Linked DNA regions of Diceros bicornis minor. The protein of the gene in region 2 binds, or shares a complex with, the protein of the main gene of each other region. Links are inferred from orthologs where the notes say so. Each region holds a gene or a part of one and is shown on either strand. Other genes may lie near its edges.

Region 1 (7,165 bases), on a different chromosome or scaffold from region 2:
TCTGGGCTTTCGATTCTATTCCATTGATCTGTGTGTCTGTTTTTGTGCCAGTACCATGCTGTTTTGGTTACTATAGCTTTGTAGTATATTTTGAAATCAGGGAGTGTGATACCTCCAGCTTTGTTCTTTTTTCTCAGGATTCCTTTAGCTATTCGGGGTCTTTTGTTGTTCCATATAAATTTTAGGATTCTTTGTTCTATTTCTGTGAAAAATGTTGTTGTAACTTTGATAGGGATTGCATTGAATCTATAGATGGCTTTAGGAAGTATGGACATCTTAACTATGTTAATTCTTCCAATCCAAGAGCACGGAATATCTTTCCATTTCTTTGTGTCTTCTTCAGTTTCTTTCAGCAATGTTTTATAGTTTTCGGTGTACAGATCTTTCACCTCTTTGGTTAAGTTTATTCCTAGATATTTTATTCTTTTTTTTGCAATTGTAAATGGGATGGTATTCTTAATTTCTCTTTCTGCTACTTCGTTGTTAGTGTACAGAAATGCAACTGATTTTTGTATGTTGATTTTGTATCCTGCAACTTTACCATATTCGTTTATTACTTCTAAAAGTTTTCTGGTGGATTCTTTAGGGTTTTCTATATATAAAATCATGTCATCTGCAAATAGTGACAGTTTCACTTCTTCCTTTCCAATTTGGATCCCTTTTATTTCTTTCTCTTGCCTTGACCCAGTTTGCTTTAATTTTTGTATATGATGTGAGGAAAGCATCCAACTTCATTCCTGTGCATGTGAATATCCAGTTTTCCCTGTATCGTTTGTTGAACAGACTGTCCTTTCTCCACTGAATGGTCTTGGCACCCTTGTCAAAAATCAACTGACCATATATGTAAGGTTTATTTCTAGGCTGTCTGTTCTATTCTGTTGGTCTATATGTCTATCCTTATGCCAGTACCACACTAAATGTGTTTTATACATTACATTTAATCCTCACAATACTCTTTTGAAATAGAAATTCTTATTCTCATTTTATAATTGAGGAAACAATCTCATAAAAATTAATTACTTGAAGGAATCACAGCTAGTAACTGGGAGACTAAAGATTTAAACCCATCTCATTCCAAATGTTGGAAATAAAATCATTTCCTAGAAAAACGTTTCCCTCCGGGAATTAAACCCAGCTGGTTAAAAGCACTGAAACAAACTTACAGCTCTACAGAGTTGGAACTCATTAACCCATTTAACAGACTTTTTTCATTGAATATTATATGAGACATTGGTGTTAGGTGCTATAGCTACAATGAGGAAATTGGGGCATGAATAACTTGAACAACATGTTCAAGCTTCCTCAATTTGTTACTCAAAGCTAAGCTTTATTCCATTACGTCATGCTGCACCATAAGGGAAGGTGGGTTTTTTAATGTATTTCTCAAACTTCTTAAAAACTAGCCTTTAGATACAAAAATCTTCTGCTCCCTGGGAAATTCTAATAAGCTCCCTAGAGAATAACTGCATTTTTCTGGTCAGCCTATCATCTAAGAAAACACCTTGGAATTTTAGTTTCTTTTTTTTTTTTTTTTGTGAGGAAGATTGGCCCTGAGCTAACCCCTGTTGCCAATTTTCCTCTTTTTTGCTTAAGGAAGAATGGCCTTGAGCTAACATCTGTGCCCATATTCCTCTATTTTTTATGTGGGTCACCACTACAGCATGGCTTGATGAGTGGTGTATGTCCGCACCCAGGATCCGAACCCACAAACCTGGGCTGCCCAAAGACAGCGTGCTGAACTTAACCACTACGCCACCAGGCCGGCCCGGAATTTTAGTTTGTATAGTTTGTTATCTGATATAATGGAATATTTTTTCATTTCCTGTATATGAAATTGTGTCATAATGGATTGGACATGCTTTTTGTGAACTATGCTTTGCCCACATGCATGCTTTTAGGAATCACTGGTTTAAAGGGTCAGGAAAGTTTAGAGCCTCGTTTTGAAGAAAGGGAAAAATACAGGCTTATTGCTAAAATGAAGAAAACAGTACTGGCAGGTGTTACTCATTTTTTTTTTTTTTTAAGATTTTATTTATTTATTTTCCCCCCCAAAGCCCCAGTAGATAGTTGTATGTCGTAGTTGCACCTCCTTCTAGTTGCTGTATGTGGGACGCGGCCTCAGCATGGCCGGAGAAGCGGTGCATCGGTGCACGCCCGGGATCCGAACCCGGGCCGCCAGCAGCGGAGCGCGCGCACCCAACCGCCAAGCCACAGGGCTGGCCCAGGTGTTACTCATTTATCATTTATTGAGCCTTTACTGTGTCTGGTGCTATCCTAGGCCCTGGAGATAAAAACAATATGACACAATTCTTGCCCTTAGGGAATTTCCATTTAGGTAAAAACCAGACTTCAGCAGGTTCTGAGGCCTGCAAGATCTACTGCTGAAAAAAGATTCATTCTTTAATTCAACAAATATTTATTTAATTACATCAGGTGCTATTGTAGACATTTAAGATATATCAATGACAATGATTCTTGCCTTTAAGGAGTTTACATTCTAGCAGAGGGAGTCAGATGATAAGGAAGAAACATAAGTAAATGCTCTAGTACTAGTATGGTAGGTGGTGATAAGTTCTATAGAAAAAGAAAAAAAAAAAACACTGGGGAAATTGAGGGCTAAACAGGCTTCAGAACTAAATAGGGTGGTCATGAAAGGTTTCACTGAGGTTACATTTGAATAAAAATCTGAAGGAAATGAGGGAGCAAACCATGCAGATATCTGGATGAAGGACAATCCAGGCAGAAAGCAACAAAAGCAAGGGCCTTGAGGTGAGCTTATGCTTGGCATGTTCAAGGGACAACAAGGGGTCAGGATTCTGGAGCTGAATGAGTCAAGGAAAGAGTAGTAGTAGATGATATTACAGAGCTAAGAGAGTGGGGCAGATCTTGTAGGGCATTTTATTCTGAAGGAAAGCCAGGGGAGGGTTTTGAGGAGGGGAGTAATATGACCTTTCTGATGTGTTAACACGATCACTATAGTACCTACTGTGCCAGTACTAGATAATTTACTTACTATGTTTATGTGATGAGACTAGACTAAAAGGGACAAAGTGGAAGCAAGAGAAAGCAGTTAGGAGACTACTAAAATAATCAAGCATAAAGGTGATAGTAGTGGAGGTGAGAAGCAGATGGCTTCTGTATATATTTTGAAAGTATGGCCAATGGAACGGAGGAGTCCAGGATGACTCTAAGATTATTGGCCTGCATAACTGTAAGAATAGAGTTGCAGTTACCTGAGATGAAGAAGACTGTTGGCAGCTGGTTTTTGGGGGAGGTGGTGGTTAGAATCAGGAGCTTAGTTGGGGGAGGTGGTGGTTAGAATCAGGAGCTTAGTTTTCATTAGGTGAGTTTGAGATGTCTGTTTTACATTTATGTAGGCAATTGGATATTTTATTATGTATCATGTAGCTTTATTGAACTCGGTGAAAAGCACTGTTTAAAGTGCATTACCCCCAGTCACTCTTGTGGTCCTCACAGCAGCCGTATGAGGTGGATTTTTTTTTTTCAGGTGAGGAAACAGAGGGCCTAAGTAACTTGCCTAATGTCGCAGCTAACGAGTGGGAGAGCTGGAACACAAATCTAGGCAGTCTGGCTTTAAAGCCCGTGTTCGTTTTTAATCATTAAGCAATATTGATTCTCAGAGGATGTGTGGCACATAGTAGTAGGCAGTCAGAAATATTTGTTCCGTCAATGAATGAAACAATAAAAGGCATGGGGGGGCTGCTATCTTCGGAGTCCCCTTATACTCATCTTTTTTTTTGGATGGTCTCTGGTGCTACTGTTAAGTAAGGCAGAAAGGTTGAAGGGTGGCTAATGCTAATGGATCACGAATCTCGGAGGGTTTACTTTCTGCCAGGCCTGTTTAGCCTCAACGCGGAAGCCCCGCTTTTAGTTCTATCATCACTTTAGTGCACTGATTCTCCTCCCTAGGAATACTGCAAGCAGCCTAATTTCTGCTTCAGGCAACGTTAACTTTGCAGTAATCTAGATAATAGATTTAGCTGGGGAAACTTTATGGCTCCGCCACGCGTGCTCTCCTCCGCAGAGAAAGTGGCTACTACGGCTGCGCGAATCAGCGGCCGGGCCCTCCCCCGTCACATGTTGGGGGACTGCGGCGTGGCGGCGGCCGTGGCGGCAGCCACGGCAGGCCGTAGGGCGGTCGGAGGGTTTCCGGTTCCGGTGTAACGTTCGGGCTCCGTCTCAGGGGCTGAAGTTTGTGAGGTGAGTAGTGGCCGCGGGCCCAGAGAGGGTATCCTCGGGTCCGAGCGACTGGGTCCGTGGCTCAGTCCAAGGGGAGGGCCAAGGCGTTAAGGTTCAGCGGGAAGGAAGCTGAGAGAAGTACAAGGTTCTGAGGAAGAACGGGTTGGAATGAAATTGTTGAGAGGAAAAGGGCGGGGGCGGGAAGGGGACGGGGTGGGGAGACCAGGTCTGAGATGAGGAGTTTGGGTAGAACAAGGTGCGGTAGGGGGCCGGTCGGAGAGACGGAGAGAGCGGAAAGAGAAGAATGGGGCCTTCAGGAGGGGTGCTCGGGTTGTAGCAAAGAAGAGCACGGAGTAAGGAAATCCTTCAGAAGATTGGATTCTGCTGCCTGCTCATTCAGAGGAGATCATTCTACCTTCCTCTCTTTCCACGCCATAAACCGCCCCCAGCCCCGCCCCAGGCATTTATTGAACATTTGATTAGTGACAAAGCTAGCTACTGTTTGAAACTTGCATTTTTGCCCACTGGCTGTTTAGTTTGCACATCATCTTATGGAGGACTGGGTTGAACTTGAATATATTTGTTAGTATAGTGCTTGGGCACGCATTTCATCTGATAGAGTGGTACTTCATTTATTGCTTTGGATTTTCAAATTGCTTGTGCTTTCTAACCTATGATTCAATTCTAGTGGAATATAAGCCCCATTAAGGCAAAGGAGATTCTTGTTGTATGTATCCTCAGCACCCAGTACAGTGCTTGACATTGAGTAGCTATGCAATAAATTTTTACTGGATGAATTAAGTATGGTGTAGGTATGGCAATTGTCCTCATTTTGTAAGATGAATAAACTGAGGCTCAGAGGAATTACTTGTCCAAAGGCTGATAAATGGTAGAGCTCCGTGTCCCAGCTGTTCGGTGTGAGCTCTTTCTTCACTCTCTATGGTGTCTGAATATGTTTCTTTTGAGCAATGCACATTTAATATGTAGAGATTGATAGGCTATACTGCTGTCTCACAATGGGTAAATAGAGCCACCATAGAATTATTCATATAACGTGTTCCTGAGGCACAAAATCTTTCACTCCTAGATTCATGACTTTAAACTACTAGCTTCATATAGTTATACCAAAATTAAATATATTGTTTAGCAACAGGTCATATAGAGGATAAACCTGCTAAGAATGTAGAAGTTAATCAGACTGTGTCTTTTTTTGTGTGTGTGAGGAAGATCAGCCCTGAGCTAACATCCATGCTAATCCTCATTTTTTGCTGAGGAAGACCGACTCTAAGCTAACATCTATTGCCAATCCTCCTCCTTTTTTTCCCCCAAAGCCCCAGTAGATAGTTGTATGTCATAGTTGCACATCCTTCTAGTTGCTGTATGTGGGTCGCGGCCCCAGCATGGCCGGACAAGCGGTGCGTCAGTGCGCGCCCGGGATCTGAACCCGGGCTGCCAGTAGCGGAGCGCGTGCACTTAACCACTAAGCCACGGGGCCGGCCCAGACTGTCTTTTAGGAGAAAAGATGTCTTCAAACATCTTGAAAGATTAACTCCCAGATCAGATCCTGATGTATGGCACTGCTGGGAGGAGGTTAGCTTGGAAATTGAGGTCAGTGCAGTTTATTGTTTTAGACACTATGGAGAAAAATCAGAGAAATAAAATTTTCTCTATGCTCATGAGGAGTTCTCAGATTTAGGTAGGAGATCAAAATGTAAACATGAATAATGTTTAAGAATTATACTAACTTGCATTAAATAATAAAGATTTGTTGTAGAAAGTCCTTTATGCTAGTGTTTTCTCTGCTAAGCTGAAAAGTAGAATAGAGGTGAAAGGGGAGAGGGAAAGTACATCCAAAATGAGAGTACTCTTTTCTCAGCTGAGGGATTACTCTTATCAAGTCAGCTGACAGAGCCCCTGTAGAATATGAGGAAAAATTATCTGGGTACAGAATTCCCACTGGGATGAATATGACTACAGAGAAATGTGACAGCACATTTTTAAGGATTATGCGCTTTAATGTAGAATGACTGATCTGGATAAGCCCCACTTAGTTGCATCACTTAGAGGAAGGGAAACCTATAGGTCAGGGCTGAGTTAAGGAACGCCTGCCTGGAAGCAGGAGGAATAGAAAAGCTAGCCTCTGGGTAGGCTTTTTCAGTCTTGTTTTCATGTTATATGTTTGCCAGTCCTTGTTGATATGACAGGATCAAAAAGCTAGAACTCATTTCTCAGACTAAGTTATTGCCAGGGTTTGTGTATTCCACAGATTTCGTTGATCCACTGATACTTACTGACTTAGGGTTAAAAATCAAACGGAATGTAGTTCTTTCTGCTTTAAAGTATGGGTTCTAGGGAAACTGTTTGGCTTGAGATGAAGTGGAAGAGCTTGCCTAAAGATTGAGAATAGGGGTGGGGAAGGCATTCCTGATGTACTAACTGTTGCCTGGAATCACTTTAGTCTTTTCCTATCCTAACTCTTTCCTGGTTTCTTTTTAGGTGCAGTATTGAATCCCATTTGAGCTATCCTTCTTTTCCAAAGAATGGCACTGTCTAAGAGAGAGCTGGATGAGCTGAAACCATGGATAGAGAAGACAGTGAAGAGGGTGCTGGGTTTCTCAGAGCCCACAGTGGTCACAGCAGCACTGAACTGTGTGGGGAAGGGCATGGATAAGAAGAAGGCAGCTGGTATGTACCTTTCTGAATCTTTTGACTTAACATACAGGATGATCCCAAGCACTGCTTTGAACTTCTCCAAAATTCTCTCTGTTGGGAGTGTCTGAAAAGGTCAGGCCACATTTTATTTTCTCTTGTGTTATAATGACCTAGACTAAATGACTGTTTTTGCTTTTTCTCTTATTTTTTTATACTATTTGTGACATATTTTGAATATCAGACTGACTTCCTTCAACCACTGTGCTGAGTTACCTAAGTTATATTTACTTAGGAAATATGCAAAAGTCAGATG
Region 2 (7,748 bases):
TCCTCTCATGAGGCTTACATTCTACTTGGGAGGAAGGATAATTAATAAAGAAATGACCAAAATATATAGATAGAGATGGAAAATACCTGAGAGGTAGATGGAGTGGTCAGGGAGTCTCTCTTTCCTTGACATTTGAGCAAAGACCTGATTGACAAGAAGGAAATGGCTATGAGATCTGGGGGAAGAATGTTCCAGGTCAAGCTAGGTGCTGTCTGTTCAACCATCTGCACCATTCATTCATCCCTTCATCCATCCATTGATCCCATCAGCATTTTGTTCCTCTTTCCCATCCATTCACCCATTGGTCTGTCCCTCAAACCAAAAGGTATTCACCTAGCTCCTACCAGATATGGGGGCCAGGGAGAAGAACAAGATCTGGCCCCTACCCTCCCCTTTGCAAGGGGAAGGTAGCAATACAGGCGAGGTCACAGATGTGTGCACTGAGCTCCACAGAGCTCAGGTCATTCAGAGTTGGGGCACAGGGCTGGCTGGAGTGGGCAGGAAGGCCTTGAGCTGGGCCTGAGGGCCGAGCCCCAGAGGCAGCCTCCATCAGGTCAGACTTCCACGACAAAGCCCATCCCCCAGGCTCTCGGCTTTCTGGGCTCCTGCAATCCCTTCAGACCCCATACTCCCCTACCCGGGACCTGACCCTCTCTGAGACGCCTGTGCCCAGCTGACTTTTCCCATCCCTCTTTTTTCCCCTCTCACCCCCCAAGAAGCCTGCTGCAGGCCTGGGAGCGGCAGCAGCGGGAGGAGCGGCGGCAGGCTGAGCTGCGGAGGGCCCGGGAGCAGCAGGTTCAGCAGCAGGTGGCTCGCTGCCTGGCAGCCTACGCGCCCAGAGGGAGCCGGGGGCCAGGGGCTGCCCAGCACAAGCTGGAGGAGCTGAGGTAGGAGGCCAGGGCTGCGGAGGGCCCGGTGGGGAGAGGGCAGGGAGGCAGTGTGAGGTGTCAGACAAGGACCAAGGAGACCCAGCCCTCCCCTTCCCTCAGGGCTGAAACTCCACGGCCACCCTCCCGCCCAGGCAGGCGGGCCACACTCTACAGATGAAGACACTAAGCCATGGGAGGAGAAGGGGCCGGGCCAAGGTCACCCAGTTAATAATAACAAGCCCTGCAGCTGTGGAACGCTCAGGTTAAAATGTTCTACCTGCATTATTACACTTTCAAGTCTTGTTTTTCCGATTTCAAATGCCAGACATGCTTACTACAAAAGTTCAAATATTACCAAAATTGTTCTTGTACAATGGGAACAGCGCCTGTGATCCCACTCCTGGAGACGACCACTGTTGATGGTCAGTGAAGAGTCATCAGTGTTCTTCTCTTCCTATAGTTTGACCATGAAAAAAAAAAAGGTGGGGGGCCGGCCCAGTGGCGTAGTGGTTAACTTTGCGCGCTCCGCTTCGGCAGCCGGGGGTTCGCAGGCTCGGATTCTGGACACAGACCTACACACTGCTCATCAAGCCATGCTGTGGTGGCGTCCTTCCCTGGCACATAACCAAGGGTCCACAGCAAGGCAGTGTTTTTCCATGGGGCCCAGCATACTTGCTGGAGGTCCCAGCACGAGTCTCGGATTCTTGCCTGCTGCTCTCCTGTCCTGTGTGTGGGTGCTGCCACCACGCCCCTCGGCTTCTCTTATGTGCTTCACAGAAGGATGCCTGGTCCGGAGCACGGTGTGGCCAGAGGGCCCCTCTTGCTGCCAGGATGCTCAGCTTTTTGAGCAGACACATTTGTGACAAGCGCACAAACTGGGTTTTTGTAAATGGATTTGTGCTTCCCCAGTGGAACCCTGATCTTTCTGGGATGTGCTCTTTTCATTTGCAACACATTTCTTTAGTTCTTCTGTCCCAACTGCTAAGCTGTCTGCTTATCAGAACCACAGAGGATGCTGGCAAGCTTGTCCAGTCCCTGCTATGGCACAGACAAGAAAACTGAGCCCAGAGCCCAGAGTGGGGCCTTGCCCAAGGCCACAGCATCCTCCTCGCAGGTGCAGTGTGAAAGGGTGCAGGGGTGTGGACACGGGGAGAGGAGAGGCTGTGCAAGCAGATGCCCAGTTGCTCAGAAGCCAGTGATGGCCCCTCTCCCTTGGGGGTGGCTGCAAGGCTGGGGGAGCCCTGGCTGCACAGCCTGCAGACTTGGGCTCAGGACTCAGTCTCTCACTTCCCAGCTGTGCAACCTTGGACAGGTTCCTCAACCCTCCTGAGCCTCAGGTGCATCAAGGGTAAAATGGGTCAAATAACTCCTGCCCCACTGACCTCAGAAGGAATCCAGGGTGAGGATGGGAATGAAATGGCTTTGCAAAGGCAACGGCCAGAGAACATAAACATAAAGTCCTTAGTGAGGACGAGTGGGCTCAGGAGTGGGGATGGCTGTGTCCACGGTTAGCTGCCCAGAGGCCTGTCTCCCTGCAGGCGCCAGGAGCGACAGCGCTTTGCTGAGTACCAGGCAGAGTTGCAGGGCATCCAGCACAGGGTGCAGGCCCGGCCCTACCTGTTCCAGCAGGCCATGCAGGTGAGGGCTGGCACAGGGCTTCTCCCAGGCTGAGTGGGTAGGAAGCAAGGTGGGAGTGGGCCCCCTTAGATGGGACCCCTGGCTGCTGCCCATCTGGAAGCCCTGGGACGCCCTCAGTACCCAGAGCCCCACTGTGTCCTCGGCAGCCCTGGTGCAGAGCAGGAACCCCTCCTCTCTCTCCTCAGGCCAACGCCCGGCTCACTGTGGCCCGGCGCTTCTCCCAGGTGCTGTCGGCACTGGGACTGGATGAGGAGCAGCTGCTGGTGGAGGCGGGAAAGGGGGACAAGGAGGGGACCTCCAGGAAACCCAGGTGAGACCGTCTAGCTGACCAAGGAACCGGCTCTGCCCAGCTGCGGGGAGAAGAGGCGCCATCACCAGCCCTCTGAACTCTGTCTCCCTGCCCTGGGGAAAGGCAGAGGGACTCCGTGGGAAGCCACATTGATCCACCCTTAATCTAAGCTTCAGTCCTGCCCCATCTACTCCCAGGTCTGGAGGACTAGTTCTAGCAGTCAGCAGGGTCTTCCCCAGGCCCTGTCCTCCATGTCGCCTGAGGAAGACAGGGCCAGGGTTATTTTCCCCACTTCCCAGTGAGGAAACTAAGCACCTGAAGGGCAGGGTCTTGCCCAAGGTCACAGGAGCAAATAAGCAGCAGAGCCAGTCTGGGAACCTGTGGCCATCTGAGTGGCCACACACCAAGGCCCCATGATGGGCTAGTGCCACTCCAGTCACCCCAGGTATACTGTCCCTTATGCTTTAGAAGAACCTAGTGCAGAGCAGGGATTATGAGGCCCAATTCACAATAAGGAAACTAAGGCTCAAGGAGAGGAAGTCACTGGCTCAGGGTCACATAGCATAGGAGCCAGATTTGAACCCACATCATCAGTGACAATGGCCTTTCCCCTCCTATAGCCCAGGTCTCCTTGGGCATGAGGGTGGCGAACTGCAGAGCGCAGTGACCTCTATCTGTGTCTTCATCTTTAAGGAGACACAGGTCAACAGGGGTGAGAATGGAGCACTCTTCTCAGAGCCCCCCAAGGACAGAACCCACCGGCAGCCAGCCTGACAGGCACTCCACCCAAGCCCAGACCAGAAGTCCAGTCCCTGAGAAAAATTAAACGCTTTATGGAAAATACAGCGTGAGACTTCCAGTGGTGGTGGGAAGAGGCTGCGGGTTGGGAGTAGCAGGCGGTAGGTGGGTAGGCAGCCGGCTTAGCTTGTTCTCGCATCCCCCAGGAGCTCCCGCTGTTCTGGCTGCCCCCTCCCAGCACACACAGCCCCGCCTCTGCTCCTGAGGAGGGGGGCGTCTCAAAGAGCAACAGCTGCGACTCCTCCACCCCCAGTCGCCAGCATACATGTTGGGTTCTAGAAATTCAAGAGCGAGTAAGACAGAATGGCCTCTGCCTTTGGCGACTCCCAGTCCGGTGGGGGAGGGGGCGGACCTTTAAAGGGGCACAGGCATCACACCGTAACAGATGGACTGCACAGGGACCGCCAGATCTAGCAACTGTGGGGTGTGGGTGTCAGGAGGAACCGTGTGAGCTGGGTTTTTAATGTTAAATAACTTCAAGTTAGAGCCCCTCTTCTCAAGAAATACACACACACACACACACACAGATGCGCCAAATTTTGCACTCAATTTCAGGGGGTTCACCAACACACAGAAGCTCATCTGGAGCTCCTTAGCAGTTCACGGGGCGCAGGTTAAAAACCCAATCCAGGGAACGTGGGCAGGCAGGGTCTGCTGCCAATACTGGTTGTAGGGGCTCGGAGGCCGGGCTGTGGGTCTCAGGAGGAGAACATGCTGCGTCGTCCAACGCTGGATGGAGCCACGACCCCAGGGAGTAGTCCACTAGGAGGACGCCTACTGGAGCGGCGGGCGCTGTCCACGGAAAGTCTGTGAGGCAGTGAGCGTCCCGTGGCTGGGGGTGTGCAAGCGGAGGGAAGCCGGGGAGGGGCTTCCAGCTCCGGGGACGCTGACTGAGACAGCCTGTAGGTCCTTCAAGTTCTGGGATCCGGTCTTCTCCAGACCGGGTCCGCGAACATAGAAGAGCGCACGCGCCAGGGGACCACAGGCTCCATGACCGCCCGCCCGCCCGAGGCGGCCGCGAATGCGCAGTCGGGCGCCGATCCTGGCCCTCCCATGAGCCTTTGGGGCAGGCTCCGAGGGGAACAACGGAAGCAGCCGCTCTTGGTTTCCGGCAACACGACAGCGGCTGCCGGGCGACCCGGAAGTGTTCCCATTTTGCGTCGTCTGGGCTCGGCGGTGGCCGGGCTCGGGACGGACATACCACCATGGGGTCGTCAAAGAAGCATCGCGGGGAGAAGGAGGGGGCTGGGACGACGGCGGCGGCCAGCACCGGGGGCGCCACCGAGCAGCCGCCGCGGCACCGAGAGCACAAAAAACACAAGCACCGGGGCGGCGGCGGCGGCGGCGGCAGCAGCGGCGGCGGCGGCGAACGACGGAAGCGGAGCCGGGAGCGTGGGGGCGAGCGCGGGGGCGGGCGGCGCGGGGCCGAAGCCGAGGCCCGCAGTGGCACTCACGGGCGGGAGCGCAGCCAGGCCGAGCCCTCCGAGCGGCGCGTGAAGCGGGAGAAGCGCGATGACGGCTACGAAGCCGGTGAGGGGCGGGGCCTGCGCGGGGGCGGGGCGGAGGTCCCGGGTGGGCTCGCCCAGCCTTCAGGCCGAGGCACCCCCCAGGCTGTTTTTCTCAGCGCTTAGTCTTGTTACGGTTATTTGAGATTAAAGGTTGTCTTCGTTTGTTACGCTCTGTGAGCACAGAGATTTTCTGTTTTTCGCAATTGGTACATCAAGGGCCTTCAGTAAATGTGCAGAGTGAATGAATGAACGGATGAAGTGGTAGTAGCCTGTGCAGAGGCAAGAGAAAACCTGGTATTGGGCGAATCCTGTAGGGCTCACGATAGAGACGGGAGGCTGTAAGATAGGCAGGGATCGGAACACGAAGGGTGCCGTAGGCCCTGTTCCGAAATTCGAACTTTGTCCTGAGAGTAGTAGGGAGCCATGGATTTGAGTCGAGGAACGAGTCCATCATATTTTGCAAAGATCACTGCATTGAGACCTAGATCGAGGGTAGACAAGACTGGAGGTCAGGTGAGGGCTGATGGTGGCCTGCACCAAGGCAGCAGCAATGGGATGGAGAGATGTGGACAAATTGAAGAGGTGTTTTGGAGGAGGAATTAACACGCTTGGGTGAGGGTGGCAAGGAGAAGAAGAAATGGAGGATGGCTCCTTGAATTTTGGCTTGAGCAGCTAGGTGGGTGCTGGTGTCATCTACAGATGTTGAGGAGTTTGAAAGAGAAGCAGACTTTGCAGGGAAGATAATGAATTCAGTTTTGGAGAGTGTTGTGTTTGATGTGTGTGAAGAAACCCAGGGTTTGGCCTGGATAGAGCAGTTTGGGTGTCATGAGTAGTTAGGTGTCAAATAAAGTTCACTAAAAGATTGACGAGTGAGAAGCCAGGGTCAGGAGTGGAGTCTACAAAACACCAATATTTTAGTAGTAGGTGGAGCAAGATACTACAAGAAGGGAGGTGGAGTAGCCAAAAAGGCAGGAAAAGCATAGAACCCGGTGTCATGGGATCTGTGGGAACAGAGCATTGTTAGAAGTGAGTGATCAACAGTGTCACACACCACAAGAGATCAAGCAAAACCAGAGCTGCAAAGAATCCATTGGATTTAGAAATAAAGAGTCTGGTGACCTTGGAGAGAGCCCGGAGGGGTTGGGATGGATCCAGGGTCCGGGTGGGATAAAAGGGGAGGAGGTAGGTTGCAGGGATGCAGAAAGGGTGAGCACATGGTGGCAGCTGGTTGGGGTAGCTTCATCTGAGGGTGTCTAGCTTCTGTCTGTGGTGCTCAGTGAAGTTGTTTGCTGTTTATGAGCTGGGTGGAGGAGGTCCGAAATGCTTTTTTTGTCTCTCTGTCCCCAACGTCCCGCACAGAGCAGGCACCAGTAAGTGTGTTTCTTGACTGTGTGAATTGCACGGAGGATTCAGTCATGCTGTCAGCGTGGTCCCTGCCCTGTGGGGAGAAACAGACCCAGGAGCAACTGACGGCGCTGTGGAGTTCAGGGAAGAGCAGTTCATTCTGATCAATAATTCAGCAGGACCTTACGAAGGAGGTGGCATTTGATCTTTGCGTTTGGATAGGAATTTGTCAATCAGAGTGAGGCCAGGGAGGGCAGTGCAGGTTGAAAACACAGAATATACAAAAGTGGAGAGGTGGCGGAGTGAGGGATGCAGAAAGTTGGACCTTTAGGGTTGGGAAAGGAAGGTACGTAGAAGAGGCAGAGTTCTCAGACACTGGGACTCAAGTAGTGGGAGTTACTGGGGTGAAAGAAGGCTGCTGTTTCCTGGTGTCTCAGCAAGGCCCGCGTGCTGGTGAGGGGCCCTCATCTTCAGCCCTGCAGCTGGAGCGGAGGAAGTGGCTTCTTTGCCCTGTGTTCAGCTCCTGAGCCGTGCTCCTTGTTGTTCCAGCTGCCAGCTCCAAAACCAGCTCGGGAGATGCTTCGTCACTCAGCATCGAGGAGACCAAGTAAGTGCTGTCTCCTTTTTGTTTCTCGTTTTTTTTTTCTGAGACAGGTGGCTCCTGGGGCAGTTGCTTGGGGAGGCTCTCACACACTAAAGCGTTCTGATTGGAATGGGAAGGGCTGTAGAAATCATCTTAGCCAACCATTTGAGTTACAGAAGAGGACACTAAGCCCCAAGAGGAAGGATGGCATTCCACTGGTTAGGGGCAGCCGGGCTTAGCGCCGGTGTGCCCTGATTTGGAGGCCAGTGCCCTTCCCAATGCCCTGGGCTGCCTGGGTCAGGCGCTGTGTTTGGGACCCTTAGGACCACCCACTCCCATCCTGTTTTCACCCTCTGTCTGTCCAGAAATGCATTTGGTGCCCCCATTTGTTTGACAGCTTCTAACAGTTGTACTCTTGTCTTCAGTAAGCTCCGGGCCAAGTTGGGGCTGAAACCCTTGGAGGTCAATGCCGTCAAGAAGGGTGAGTGTGGGGCTGAGGATGGGGGTGGGGGGCATCTGAAGACAGTGGGGTTAGAGTCCAGGTTCAGCCCAGTTAGTGGTCGTGTGTGTGTATGTGTGTGCTTGCTGATAGGCGTGAGGCCCCTCCTTGCTGTCGTAATGGGGATCTGGGACTCAGGTTCTTCTGTAAGTTTGAACAGTTGGCACTGCATCCTTACGCTGGCTGTGAGGCAGCGTTAGGTGGAGTGAGAGATGCACAC
Region 3 (7,328 bases), on a different chromosome or scaffold from region 2:
ATAAGAAACGTTTACTATCCTCACTCTTGTTACTATTACTTACTACTGATTCCTACCCATTAAACCAATCTGTATTCAATTCAATTCTGAAAGCGGAAATAATGGTCGATTATAATCAATATAATTTAGCCATCATTTACATTTTATATTATATATAAATTACAGAGCAATTAATTTAATCAAAAGCATTAAATGTTCTTATTATCAGTTCCTTGATGTGACCTGAGCCCTAAGATTCCTGGCTGTTTTTAAGTATCTTTAACCTTAAAGTTTTGTCTCCACTAATTTCCTACCAATTTAGTAATAATTACATTGAGGTAATAACCTTCCGATCCAATCACTAGCGTCAGTGGATAAAATTTCTATTTTAAGGTAATTTCAACAGGCAATGTTTTCGCATATATCATTTTACTGACTCAACAGTACTAAAACTGCCTTAAATTAAAAACTGAGAGATCCTCCCTCCCCATTCTTTAATTTTTAACATTACTCACAACTCAGTGACATCTTCCAGTACCATATCTGAAATTCTGTGTTAAGAAAATAAATATACCAGGTTGAATTTACTCTGGCTTCTACCTCTGTTCAGTTTTACTTATAACGTCTAACACAATGACTCAAATTCAAAATGCTTGTGATTGGTAGGTAGGTAGGTAATCTTCTTCCAGCACAAACAACTTTTAAAACACTATCACAACGTCCCTGAGAATTAATTTTTTTGTGGGTGTGGGTGAGGAAGATGAGCCCTGAGCTAATATCCATTGCCAATTGCCCTCTTTTTGCTGAGGAAGACTGGCCCTGGGCTAACATCCGTGCCCATCTTCCTCTACTTTATATGTGACACCGCCAAAGCATCGCTTGACAAGCGGTGCGTCAGGCAGCACCTGGGATCCGAACCCTGGAACCCGGGCTGCCAAAGCAGAGCGCATGACCTTAACCACTATGCCACCGGCAGGCCCCAAATTAATTTTTATTATAATAATCAGTAAATACTGTCTATAGTTCTTTTGTTCTTAAATACTGAAGAAAAACCCATACCACCACCACCTTTTAAAAGGATACTGACAAAGTCATCAAATCCTAGAAGCGTGCCAACAATTTCCTTATCACTCTTCATCACAATGTGAATTCTTGATCCTATACACTTGTCCACAAGTTCTATGGATATATTTTTTTAAAGAAAAAAAAGGGAGGGAGAGGAAAAAGATTATTTTACCAATGCATTACTTCCACAAATATCTGAGTGCCTACCAGAACTTATTACTTGTATATGGTGAAATACAAACCAGGAAAAGAATTCATTCAAAAACTTTAGATCTTATACTATATACCTCTACATTAACAAAAAAGCTCTCCCTGTTCTCCACTTCCCTTTTGTAGCAATTTATCATGGCTGTGGTTTTATATTATTTTAGATTATTTGATTAACATATGAACCCCTCTAGACTCTTAGCCCCATGAGGGCAGATCATTCTACCCTCAATGGACAGTGCCTGGCATATGCTGGGGATTCAAAGTTTGTCGAATGAAGGAAAAAACTTTTCAATCACGGCCACATCCACTAACTAAATCACTCTTCAGCTACAAAATCGTAGGAAGAGACAGGCATAACTGTCTTCACCAGAGATTCCTTCTTGTCACTACCTCCCTCACCCTAAGAAGTCTATCCTCTGTACTCTGATAGCAGCTCGAACATCTCTTTACCGGGCTTAGCGTTATTTGGTATGATGTTTATTTGTTCAGCATCCTAGCTCCTCCATTGGTTTGTGTGCTATTCGCAGGCAATGGCCGTGATTTAAATTTGTTGAATAGCGGGGCCTACCCAGTGGCCTAATGGTTAAGTTTGCGTGCTCCCTTCTGGCTGCAGGAGGCGAGCGGGGGGGGGGGGGGGGGGGGGGGGGGGGGAGACGCGGCTGTGTTCGCGGGTTTGGATCCCTGGCACAGAGGATGCAGCGCTTGTCAAGTCACGCTGTGGCGGAGTCCCACATAAAATAGAGGAAGATGCAGAGGGATGTCAGCCCAGGGCCAATCCTCCTTAGCAAAAAAAGAGAAGGATTGGCATCCGATGTTAGCTCAGGGCTAATCTTCCTCTCTCTCTCTCTCTCACACACACACACACACAAATTTTGTGGACTTGTGCCGGGCCACATTGTCTGGTGCATAGATGCTCAATAACTGTTTGCTGAATGAATGAATGACAAATAGAGCTAGTTCCAGATTCTTTTTTTTTTTTTTTTTTTGGTGAGGAAGACTGGCCCTGAGCTAAGATCCCTTGCCAATCCTCCTCCTTTTGCTGAGGAAGATTGACTCTGAGCTAACATCTGTGCTCATCTTCCTCTATTTTGTATGTGGCACGCAGCCACAGCATGGCTTGATGAGCAGTGCGTGGGTCCACGCCTGGGATTCCAACCCGGAGACGCTCAGGCCGCCAAAGCGCCGCGTGTGAACTTAACCACTAAGCCACCGCCACCGGGCTTGCCCCCAGATTCCTCTTTTAAGGCTCATTCCAGACCCCGGTGCTTCTCGCAGTAACTGGCCAGCTACAGGACAGGGTGCAATCTGGGGAGCTTACATGCCAGGTTGAGGAACGGGACTGAATCCCATGACTATAGAGGTGAGCTCACAACGGAGGCGGCTGGCGACGCATTCACCAAGTGTGAACCTTTTCCAGTGGCGGTTTGGTTTGGGGAGTCACAAGTCCCTGCCTCAAGGAATCCTACCACGCTGAGGAGACGTGGGCGGCCTGAGGGCGCAAAGACTTAAAACCAGAGACGAGCCGCGGAGAAGGAAAGCAGTTGGTCCGATACATTTTCCTAACGCTCTCACACGGGCAGCCTCCCCCGCAGCCCCTGGGCCCCCAACCCTAAGCTTCAGCTCCCCGCCCGCGCGCCCCACAGGGCAACTATTACCTAGAGGCAGCAGCTGCGACGGGTTAGTGGTAGCGTTAGCAGCCATGGCTACGCCGGAAGTGGCCTGCGTCCATCGACGTTGGGTCGGCGAGTTTGAAAAAGCACGCTTCCTCTTTTTCCTCCCCCACGCAGCCCGGGCAGGCTCGACCAATCTGCGGCCGAGCGTGCGATCGGTCCAGTCCGCGTGGATCGCGCCCAGTTGCTTCTTTCCGGGGCAGTGAGATCGCGAAATATTTCTTATCCACTGAGTATTCTGCTGTGTCTGCGGCTACTCACTCACTCTCCCTTAGAAATTTTCGGGAGACCGTTAAAGATGTTCTGCCTTGTGAATAAATTCTTCCTCTAACCCGGAAGACTTTGCAAAATACGGAAACTTTTGAGTCGTCTTATTTTCCTCTATAAAGTTGCGTCTTAACCCAAGCCAGGATCTTTCTTCAGACGCGTATGAATCAATTTGTTTTTCCTGCCACCAACTCACTGTGTTGCAATTTTCGTAAAAACCGTTCAATCTTCAAGAATCTACCTTTTCTTTTAAAAGTCCAGTGGATTGAAAACGCATAACCGGCATTTTTTAAAACTTTTCTAGGGTAGAGATTTAAAATATGTTTTCTCTTTATTTTTTACTACTTTAATTCATCGTTCTTGTCTTGTTATATCTAGGAGTCTTAGTTTCTTACAGACTTCGTATTCCGTATTTCTTCAACAAACATTGTCTAACAGGCAACCACCAGATGTCACTGTATGTTAATGTCATCACACTTAAGAAACCTTAATACTTTTGCACTTTTGTTTTGAAAAGAATAGAAAGCAAACAAATTCTCTGCCTTAGTCTATTTTCTATTTGTATCCTAGGAACTTAAAGCTAAAGACTGTGAACAGCGAAGGCCAGAAAGAACATCATTCATACAACAAATGTTTTTAAAGCACCCATCATTCATTCAGCAAACAACTATATATTAGTTGCACACTATTTGTCTGGCATTTTGCTCAGTATAAAACAGTGTACAGAACAAAACTACAAGGTCTTCTGCCCTTTAAGGAGCTTAAGGATGAGTGGGAGAGAAAGACAACAAACATTATGTACAAGGTACATGAAATTTAATATATAAAGCAAAAAGACCTTTTTTAGCTTCAAGAATACTAGACACGTAGGTATGATTTAAGGGAAACATCAGTGAGGAGGTTCAGAAGCTCTTACAGAAGGGCCTTTCAGTTCAAAGCACCCTAGAGCTCAGCCTCCTTCTAAATACCAAGCCAATCCTGGCTTTTTTGCATATTTAAATATTGAGCGCCTATTATATGCCAAGAAACTGACAGATACATTTATTCCTAATCTTTATGACTATCCTTTGAGACAGATGTTAGGATGAAGTTCCTCATACTCAGAGGTTAAATAATTTGCCCACTGGCCACATAGATAGCTTGGGAAGCTTTACAAAGGAATTGACAGGAATCTAGTCTTGGAGGATGAATAAAATTGGATAGGCAGAAAAGGGGCAGGAGCAGCATTCCAAGTAAAGGGAATACTGTGTGCAATTGGCATGTGCCCACCTCCGAACATCTCTTGCACTTCAATTTAAATCTTACATACTTTCGGTAAGTTTGGCGTAAAACCCTTCCCTTCCCAAATGTTTTCCCTTAATAACCCCAGTCCTTAATGATTTTACTTTATTACACTTAGGATGCTCTGGCCCCCAGTTCTAATAAATCCTGCTCATCCTTCAAGACCCTGCTCAAATGTGACCATCTTTGTGAAGCTTCTCTGACTTGCAGACCTGGTGGGCTCTCTCATTATCCAGCAAGGATGTTAACAGCTCTCAGAATGCTCTCAATGTATTCTCTTATAATTATGTATCTACAGGGTTACCTCTTCCCCAAAAAGACTGTGAATTCCTGAAAGTCAAGAATTTTGGGAAGCAATATAGTGATTAAATCCATTGGTTCTGAAGTTAAATCACTTTGGTTCAAATCTCATCTCCACCACAATGCCTTCTAGTTATTTGACCTTGGGCAAGTTATTTAACCTTCCTAATTCTCAGTTTACCCATAGGATAATAGTATCTACTGATAGGATTGTTGTGAAGATTAAATGAGATAATCCATGAAAAGTGGTTAGCAGAGGACTAGCACATAGTGCTTATTCATTAAACGTGAGCTGTTATTGCTTATTTATCCATGTTTCCTAATACTCAACATGATGGTTGGCTTAGAGTAGGTGCTACAAAGGCTAGCATTGCTAGCTGGTGGTTTCATGTTTATCTTATTTTTATAACCAGACATAAGCCACTTTAAGACAGCAATTTCTTTCTTTCTTTCTCTTTCTTTCTTTCTCTCTCTCTCTTTTTTTCTTTCTTCCTTCCTTTCTCTTTCCCTTCCTTCCTTTCTCTTTCCCTTCCTTCCTTTCTCTTTCTCTTTCTTTCTTTCCCTTTCCCTTTCTTTCTTTCCCTTTCCCTTTCTTTCTTTCCCTTTCCCTTTCTTTCTTTCCCTTTCCCTTTCTTTTTCTTTCTTTCTTTCCCTCTGCCTTTCTTTCTCTTTCCCTTTCTTTCCTTCCCTTTCTCTTTCCCTTTCTTTCTTTCTCTTTCCCTTTCTTTCTTTCCCTTTCCCTTTCTTTCTTTCTCTTTCCCTTTCTTTCTTTGCTTTTCTTTCTTTCCTTTCTTTCTTACTTTCTTTTCTTTCTCTCTCTCTCCCCCCGCTTTCTCTCCCCCCCTTCTCTCTCTCTCTCCCCCCTCTTTCTTTCTTCTCTCTGCCTACCACAGTTCCAGGTGTACTGTAGGGTCTAATGAATGTTCTTTAAATTGATTCTATTTCATTCATACCCATCAACATCCCCCTTAATCTTCATAAGATTCTAAAGACAAAGTAATGCCAAATTTTTTTGTAAAGTCCTTTTCTTTTCCTCGTTTTTCTTTTCTATCTCTATTCTTATTTTATTTTCACCATACCATAATGAGGGTAGGGACCAAATTCAAGGCATTGTTGCTACTTGATAAGAGTTTAAAATTCAGAAAAACATGCTTTTAAGAAAGTCAGTACTTTAAATTTTCCATTACAAGAAAAAAATGAACATTAGCAATTTTCAATACTATTGATGAAGAATAAAGTAAGTCTCTTTATACTCTGAAAAAGGAGATAATAGTTCATTTACCCAGTAAAGTTAATGGGGATTGCAGGAAGGGAGTGGTTTTATTTTACCATGTTCTTTCCTGAGGCAAGACGAAAAAAGAAACAATGGGCCGATTCTAGATGGAAAGTTCATTTTTAATGAACTTGAAAACATGTCATAGCTCTGTCTCCAGGGTTTTTCTCCCTTTAGCTCTTATAGAGCAGACATAAAATAGGATTTACAAGTCATCATAAAATACATGTAACTAGAAAAGACTCTTCAGTGTATTATATGTTCAGAAAAGTGTTTCTAATTTTTTCCCTGGAGACAAATGTCATCATAAAAATACAAACAAAAGTTTCCTTTCAAAATAACATTCAGAAAGTATTCTGTTATGTCAAATTGTTATTTCCAATCTTGATAATCTCCTTCTGACACTTTTTAAAATAAAGGAGAAATATCTATTTTTTTCTCAATAGATATTTGTCTTTATAGACAATATCTTGTTAATGAATTTATTCTATAATAATACAACTTATTAAAAACTACTGTAACAGTTGTTATTCTAAACTCTTAAATGGACCAGTCTGTATATTTAGAGATGGAAAAAATTCTGGAAATTCCCTTGCTTACTTTCTTGCCCAATTTTCCCAGTAACATATCCTCTTTGTTTATAGCATTTATTTTAAGTAATTTTTTTAAACATTTAAGCAACATAATAGTTATGAATAAATGATTTAATCTTTGTTGGAAGCTCTAGGATGCAAAGTGACACAGATTTTTATAAATCTATTACTGGGTCTCCTGCACAATGAATTAAGCAGTTGGTGTTCACTGTAGATATAGAATTCTAAGATGCTCTGCCCTTACATATTTTTTAAAAGATGTTCAGTTAGACTTTAATTTTAGCTATGCCAATTGTGGAAAATATCAAGGCAGATGGAAGAAAACAGTAACATATTACGCATACAGGGAATAATATAGTTTCACACACAGTTCTGAGCCAATGCCAAGAATTTTGTAATATAAAAAAGAAATTGTAACAACATCTTGAAAAATTTCTACAGTATTTTTATTGGCACTAAAACAATTCTACTGAATCATAGAAACCAACCTTGATTACAGGAAGCCTATTGTTTTTCTCAGCTCTACTTAGATTAGAATGCAGGTCCTTAAATTTCAAGGCCAGGATAATAACTGCTAAGGTTGTCTAAACTAAGGGATGTGCAACTAGCGATGGTAAACTTCACAGCCAAGTATTGTAGTAATCTCGAATTCTGTTTAAAGCGGGCACCTATCCTTTAGTTTATCCCCAA
Region 4 (7,056 bases), on a different chromosome or scaffold from region 2:
ATATCTGCAAGAATGTCTCTTTTAAAGAGACAATAAAAGTGCACATTTTTGTATTTTTCCTGCTCCCCTCTCGCACACTGCCCAAGACATCCCTCAAACAGCTGAAATATGGAATGCCCAGCCACTCGTCACAGATGCCAACAGCGCCCTGGGTTAGGAAGCTGCTCAGCCCTGCTGGAGACCGGCTGGGCAAGCACCAGTCACCTCGTCATAGTTGGTGTCGTTCAGATCCTCGTCGTCATCGTCTGCTGCCTGGCTTTTCTTCATCTGGTCCCCAACAGTCCTCTTGCCAGGGGGGGCATGGCGGTCATCCACAGGATCATTTGCATCCCGGGCCGGCCCAATGTCTGACCGGGTGGTGAAGCCAGTGGCACTGGAGAAGATCCCAAGATGCCCATTTATCTGGGTGACCTTGTTCCTGTGTTCCGCCCTGCACCATCGTCACTTGACAATATCTCTTTTCCTAACACCTCTGGGAAACCTCAAAGATCTTGGTGCAGTGAGCTACGCATGGCCACGCTCTCCAACATCACTAGCCCGTTCTCCTCTTCCGGGGAGAAACTTTCTGACCCACCCTGAGGAGGTTACCAAAGCTATCTTTTGCCACCCCACATTCTCCTTGAGAGAGATTTGCCAGGGCATCAGGCCTCCCTCCTCCTCAAACCCCAGCCTCCCATTTCCAAAAACCTGCTGATCATCTCCCACTCCACACCCAACTTGACCCAATCACACTTTCTCTTCTGTGCCTACCCCACAGCTGCTCTGGGCTGTCTCAGCTGATGATGGCAGTGCCATCCCAGGCACCAAGGCAGGCACCATGGCACCAGCTTTGCCTCCCTCTCCCTCCTTCTTCATCCTGGGTGTCACCAAGTTCTACTGAACCTACCTCCGAAAGCCCTCCTCCGCAGACCATGACTCCCATCACAGCTGGGAACCAAGCTAGCCACCCCTGCCTCTAGCCTTCCTCTGCTTCAGTGCAGCTCCAACCGCAGCATTCGGAAGCGTCTCTGTCTCTCTGCTGCCCCCAAGAGCCCTGGTCCCTCTGACTTGCTGCAGCTCCCCTCCCTTCACTGCACATTTCACTCCGAGACTCCTTGCTACTCCTCCGCCACGCCTCGTCTTTTTTCTTAACTGCTCAACACACAAAACGTCCGTTTCTCCTTTAATTCTGCCACATCTCTACGTGCCTAACTCCAGCTCTCCTTCTAAACTTGGCCAAATGTTACCACTCCATAGAGCATTCCCTGATGACTGGAACCCCAAAATTCTAAATCTGTTCCCCTTCGTGTACTTATTTATGCAAATACCTCACAACTAGTAAACTGCAGGCACTCTGAAAACAGCGTCAGTTTCTGAGACTTACGTGTATCCCACAGATTCTAACATAAAACCCCCAACAAGAGAAACCAATAGTTTTCCTAACCAAATAAATAGCCAAACAAATAGTGACAATGACTACCCCACTTAGGCAACAACTTAGGATAGTCGTCTGTGAGACAGGCATTAAGGGACCCAGTCACAAGCCTCACAGATGCCATCCCTGCCCCTAGGGAGCTCAGCGTTTGAACAAGCAGCATATGACGACCAACACGACAGGGAAAGAAGGAGGCACTACCAGCAGCCACACAGAGGAATCTACCCCAGATTATCGGAAGAGAATGTCATGCTTAAGACAAGGCTGACAGGTCTGCCTGGCCTAGGGAGGTAGCCAAGGTGTTCTGACTACACGTTAGGGATTCATTAGCCCAGCAGAGCAGATCTGCAAGACAGTGTTATTACCCATCTTAGAGACCAAAAAACAGGCCAACGCATAAACTCCAAGTCACACAACTCCTAAGTAGCAGACAAAAGTCATGCTCAGGTCTGTCCTAATTCCAAAACACTATTCCTCCTACAGGGGTTAACCGAAACCGTCTAGTATCTTATCATTGTTTTCGGCTTTCCCATGGCTGTCCGCGAGCTGCCCTAACCCGGCTGCCTCCTGGAGAGAAGTGAGGGCAGTTAGAACAGTCTCTCCGGGGGCCCGGGCCGGCCCCCAGCCCCTTCCCGCTACCCTGGCTCCTGCCGGCTACCCCAGCTCCTGCCCCTACCCCAGCCCCTGCCCCTACCCCAGCCCTTATCCGCTACCCCAGCCGCTGCCCGCTACCCCAGCCCCTAACCTGGCTTCTGTCCACTGCCCCGGCCCCTACCCCGGCTCCTACCCGCTACCCTGGCCCCTACCCCAGCTCCTGCCCGCTACCACGGTGCCTGCCCCAGCCCGTATCGGCTACCCCGGCCCCTGTCTGCTACCCCGGCTCCTGCCCGCTACACCGGCTCCTACCCCATCTCTTACCCCGGCCCCTACCCCAGCTCCTACCCGCTACCCTGGCTCCTACCCCGGCCCTTATCCGCTACCCCAGCTCCTGCCCGCTACCCTAGCCCCTACCCGCTACCCCGCCCCCTACCGCGGCTCCTGCCCCCTACCCCAGCCTATGCCCGCTACCCCAGGCCCTACCCCGGCTCCTGCCCGCTACCCCGGCCCCTACCCCGGCTCCTGCCCGCTACCCCAGCCCCTGCCCTGGCGCCCGCCCCGGCCTCGGGCCCTACCCCGGCTCCTGCCCGCTACCCCCGACCCCTACCCCGCTCCTACCCGCTACCCCAGCCCCTACCCCAGCTCCTACCCGCTACCCCGGCCCCTACCCGCTACACCTGCTCCTGCCCGCTACCCCGGCCCCTACCCCGGCCCCTGCCCGCTACCCCAGCCCCTACGCCGGCCCCCGCCCCGGCCTCGGGCCCAAGCGCGCGCCGCCCGCTCCCGCCCCTCCAGCGCGGCCCGCCGCAGGCCTCACCCCCGGCCCAGCCCCGGCACGTAGCCGAGTGGCGCGGGCATGCCCAGGAACGGCTTCTTCTTCTTGTTCATGGCACCGGGGACGACGAGGGTCGGCAAGGGAAGGGTCGGAGACCGCCCCCGGAGGCGAAAGCCCACAGACGTCGGAGACTTTGCCGCAGCAGGACGTCGCGGGCCCCGCGTCACCCGCGCCCCGGAAGCAGAGAGCGCCGTGCGCACGAAGCCCCACCCCCTCGGATTCCCCGGGCGGAAGTTCCGGAAACGCGTTTTTCGGCGACTTCCGGCGGCTAAGGGCCAGAGATGCGGCAGGCGCATGCGCGGGGGTTTTGCTTGGGGCGACGGCAGCAGGCGGACGGGGGGATCCAGGAGCGACACCATCCTGGACAAAGCCTGCGGGACCTCAAAACTGAGCCTGGGGTATCCCTGCTTGCTGCGTGTTCTCCACGCATTTCCAAGGAGACCTCCTGTACGAGCAGAACCCGTGGGTCCCTTCCCTCTGAGCCAGCCCAGCTGCCCACCCTGCCCTTCAGAGTTGCCCTGGCCCCGGGCAGGCCCTAACACGTTTGAGCGGAGCTGCACGCCTGTCCAGTTGTGTCGAGCTTGTGCAGGGTGTATCAGTCGTAACTGCGGGCACCCCTGTCTGTGTGTGCCCGTGTGCAGGCTGCTGCCCTCGCTCTCAGTGCTCGGATTCCAGCCCCGATACAGGCCCCACCCACACCACCGCCAGACCCTGTACATTCCAGGGAGGGCAGCAAGCCAGCCCCTAGAGACCTAAATGACAAAAACAAGCAAATGCATATCTGTGGAAACAAGTCAGGCTGTGGGCGAATTCCCCGAAACCCTACCTGTGTGCTGGTGGGCACGGGTACAGGTCAGACCACCTGCGCTGATGTCTCGGGTGGACGTGCATAACTGAGCTCTGCACACATTTCTGCATGTCCGTGTGCACCTTTGCTGGCTCTGCTGTGGGACATCTGCTGGCCCCCACATACCCCTGGGAGGAGCGCTCAGGCTCTTGGCAGAGCAGGCAAAACTCAGCTTGTCGCAAGTCTGGCCTTCTGCTGGACCAGGCAGCCCCCAGCCCACTCTAGCACTTCTCACTGGGGTCCTGGAGGAAACACGTTCCTCCAGCCAGCCACAGCCTCCTTGGAGTTTCTCTCTCCTCCCCGTCCCCAGCCAAGCCCATTTTAGTGCCACGTCCTGGGCACTGAGTCAGATTTTGGGGCTACATAGGAAAGGGGAGAGACCCTGGTTGTCCAACTAGAGTTTACAGTGTGGTGGTAGGGTAAGAGAAGGTCAAACTGGCTTCTCTGGGGAAGCAAGTGCCCATTTGAGGGAGAGACCTCTGGAGAGCTCTGGAGGATGCTGAATAAAGTAGTGAGTGAGTAAATTGAAATAGGAATGGGGAGGGAGGTGACTGGGAGAGATCAGTCTGGCCCTTGACCCCGTCCCCCATGGGCAGAAGGTCCCAGGAGCAGGTAGGATGCCTCCCTCACCCTGCCACACACAAAGGGGATGAATACATCTTTACTTCCCTGCCTCAGAGGCTCCTGCAGGCGCCTGGAGCGCCTGTAGGTGCATAGGGTCACTCGTCCTTGGAGCCATGCCCAGGTGCGCACGGACGCCCTTTGCTCTAGCACCCTTTGCCTACGCAGACCCGCGCGCCGCCGACACACCTCGCAGCTACCGGAGCGCGCCCGGCACTCAGGGCTCAGCGGCAGGTGCCTCGCCGCGCAGACTCGCCGGGCGCGGGGACCGGCTCGGGCGCGGGGCCGGCTGGGGCGGGGCGGCGGCGCGCGTTCCCCGCCGGCCACACCGGCCCCCCCTGCGCCCGGCGAGGGGCGTGTGCAGGGGCCTGGGACCGCGGGCCCCATGTTCACGGAGCTGAGGACCAAGCTGAGCCCCCCGCGAGGCCGCACCGGGGCTGTGCGTGCCGGCTTCGGGGAGCGCCGGGATGTGGACGGTGAGCGGGCCTGGACCGGGGTGGGGGATATCGCGGGCTGGGGGCTCGGGGACCGAGAGGGACAGGGGCGAGACGTGGCGGACTCCCAGCGGCTGCGGCGCGCAGAGTGGGGGCCGCGCTCTGGGTGAACGGGGTCTCTGGTGTCTTTGTCCTGCGCTGGTGAGCGGCCTCAGGCCTTGGGGATCAGCGCTTCTTGGCTTGGGGGAGGTGGCCGGCTGTGGCTCCTGTCCCCAGGCTGGCACCACCCTGCGGTCACCTTTTCCTTCGCGCTGAAAAAACCCTCCCCAGCCCTTGCATTGGGGCCGAGAGGGGGGCCGAGGCCACAGTTGGCCTTGGGCGCCCCCACCCCATTTCCTACTGGAATTCTGACGTTGGAGCTGGGAGGGAGGGACCGACCGGGGGACGGACGCACAGATGGACAGAGATCCCTCCCCGAGTGCGGGTAGGAAATGGGCGGGGCCCGGCTGGCTGGGGACAGGTGCCGCAAGGGCCGAGGCGTCTGACTGGTTCTCCCCAAGCAGTGCGCTCCTGCCCTAGCCAGGCCTCCCAAGAGGAGAAGCCTTGCAACCCAGGCGCTTGTATACCCTTAAAGGTGCCCGCCTAGAGTAAGTCTTCTTTCACCGTACTAGAAACCATCTCAGGGCAATGGCCACACTGGCCACACCCTCTGTCTGGCCCTAGACCTCAGATTTAGTCACCTGGGTCACCCGAATCCTGAAAGTTGCAAGAATGGGGAGGGGGTGCTAAGTCGGGGGAATCTTACCTGGTGGAAGGAGGAAGAGTAAGATGTGGGTTTGCCTCATTACAGAGACCTCCTGGGCACATTGCCAAACCCTGCTCTCAGTGGGGATGATGGGGGGCTGTGTCCAGGGGAGGCAGAGTCTCTCACTCTGCTGGGGCCTGAGAACCTGATCCTGCCTGCTGAGTCAGGGCCTGGGTACTGTAAAGACGGGGGCAAGCCTGGGCCCAGCTTCCCGTCTTTCCCCAGGGTTCTGTTGACTTGACACCACTAGAGCCTTCATCCATCCATTCACAATGTTTCTGGGCACCTTCTGTTCATCAAGACCTGTGCATGGTCTTCAGAGAGGCCCATCCAGGTGTCTGCACTCCCTGACTCGTGTCAGCAACGAGCCCAGAAATGATGGTAAAACTAAAACCTGAGGGGTGTGATGAAGTTGGTATAGAAAGAGAGAGCACGAGGCGTCACCATGGGGCCCTGGGCACATGGGTGCACCCTGCACACCTGTGCTAAGCAGCCCATGCCTGCAGGAGCCCCCACACACACAGGAGCTGTCCTAGGCCAGGGGTCCCTGTGGGAGGTGGGAGAGCAGGAATCCCGGTTATCGGCTTGCCCAGAGTTCAGGCTTCTTGTCAATGAGTCACAGCTGGTGAGCACAGACAGCTAGGGGCCAAGCCTCAAACACCAGGTACGGCTGCAAAGACTGAGTGCCTTCAACAATGACGGGTAGATGGTGCACCCAGAGGGGTCTCCCCACCACCCAGGGCCTCCCAGGACACTGGGGCTGGCGTTTCCTCAAAGCAGGTCCTGTGTGTATACCCTGGTCTGGTGTGGCATGTGCCAGCCCAAGGCAAGCGTGAAGTCAAGGCTGTCCCAGGATGGCCCCTCACTTGGCTGCAAGTCTTAGGCTCCCTGGAGGCACGTCCTCTCTCTAATCTAAGCAGCACCCATCCTGCTTCCTAAAGCACAAACTGTGGATTCGGAGGGGGAAAGGTGTTTCCAGTTCTTCATCTTTATTCCAGTTTCCCACCCCATCTCCATCTGGGTGGAGTCCTCAAGACAGCTCTTACATGCTTCCTTCTGCCTTTGGGGGCTTGAGAACCCCTAACTGGGAAAGTGGAAGGGAGACAGGCTAAGCAAAGAGCTAGATCACAGGGAGAGGAGCTTCTGGCCTTGCCCTTGACCACTCTGACCAGGCACCCCTGCTCCACAGCCACTGCCCACTTCAGCTTCTGCCGGACCCTCCTGGAGCACACAGTGTCAGCCGAGACCATCCCCTGCCATCTGCCTAGGACACCAAGCACCAGCCTCACTTGGCATGACTCCCGCAGCCAGAGGGCAGTGGGTGGCCGGCCCGTCAAGCTCCTGCAGCAGCCTGGCACGGAGGGCCCCCAGGTACCCACCCACTAGACCCACCTCTGCTCCTGCCCTCCCTACCACCTCACTCCACCTGCCACCCCTTTCCCCTTGCAGGGCCGGCTGTACTCTGACCACTATGGCCTGTACCACACGAGTCCCTCACTGGGC

What was found. Proteins that work in one complex are often made in the same cells at the same time.
Region 1: SART1 (region 2) and PRPF3 share a complex: the UniProt entries of both Homo sapiens proteins name them as parts of the U4/U6-U5 tri-snRNP complex. The link is inferred for Diceros bicornis minor from reciprocal best matches to the Homo sapiens genes SART1 and PRPF3.
Region 3: SART1 (region 2) and LSM5 share a complex: the UniProt entries of both Homo sapiens proteins name them as parts of the U4/U6-U5 tri-snRNP complex. The link is inferred for Diceros bicornis minor from reciprocal best matches to the Homo sapiens genes SART1 and LSM5.
Region 4: SART1 (region 2) and PRPF6 share a complex: the UniProt entries of both Homo sapiens proteins name them as parts of the U4/U6-U5 tri-snRNP complex. The link is inferred for Diceros bicornis minor from reciprocal best matches to the Homo sapiens genes SART1 and PRPF6.

Annotation. Positions count from the first base shown.
Region 1 is NC_080743.1:54,784,567-54,791,731, forward strand, and holds the start of PRPF3 (U4/U6 small nuclear ribonucleoprotein Prp3), read left to right. Parts: upstream 1-4,148; 5' UTR 4,149-4,221; intron 4,222-6,696; 5' UTR 6,697-6,740; coding exon 6,741-6,885; intron 6,886-7,165. UniProt on the Homo sapiens protein: Plays a role in pre-mRNA splicing as component of the U4/U6-U5 tri-snRNP complex that is involved in spliceosome assembly, and as component of the precatalytic spliceosome (spliceosome B complex).
Region 2 is NC_080770.1:7,333,582-7,341,329, reverse strand, and holds the start of SART1 (U4/U6.U5 tri-snRNP-associated protein 1), read left to right. Parts: upstream 1-4,735; 5' UTR 4,736-4,799; coding exon 4,800-5,124; intron 5,125-6,995; coding exon 6,996-7,053; intron 7,054-7,454; coding exon 7,455-7,510; intron 7,511-7,748. UniProt on the Homo sapiens protein: Plays a role in mRNA splicing as a component of the U4/U6-U5 tri-snRNP, one of the building blocks of the spliceosome. May also bind to DNA.
Region 3 is NC_080742.1:56,561,648-56,568,975, forward strand, and holds the start of LSM5 (U6 snRNA-associated Sm-like protein LSm5), read right to left. Parts: upstream 3,018-7,328; 5' UTR 2,956-3,017; coding exon 2,910-2,955; intron 1,159-2,909; coding exon 1,063-1,158; intron 523-1,062; coding exon 495-522; intron 1-494. UniProt on the Homo sapiens protein: Plays a role in pre-mRNA splicing as component of the U4/U6-U5 tri-snRNP complex that is involved in spliceosome assembly, and as component of the precatalytic spliceosome (spliceosome B complex).
Region 4 is NC_080758.1:271,941-278,996, forward strand, and holds the start of PRPF6 (pre-mRNA-processing factor 6), read right to left. Parts: upstream 3,018-7,056; 5' UTR 2,900-3,017; coding exon 2,829-2,899; intron 374-2,828; coding exon 205-373; intron 1-204. Other genes in the region: SAMD10 (sterile alpha motif domain-containing protein 10), read left to right, coding at 5,826-5,934, 6,743-6,924, 7,003-7,056. UniProt on the Homo sapiens protein: Involved in pre-mRNA splicing as component of the U4/U6-U5 tri-snRNP complex, one of the building blocks of the spliceosome.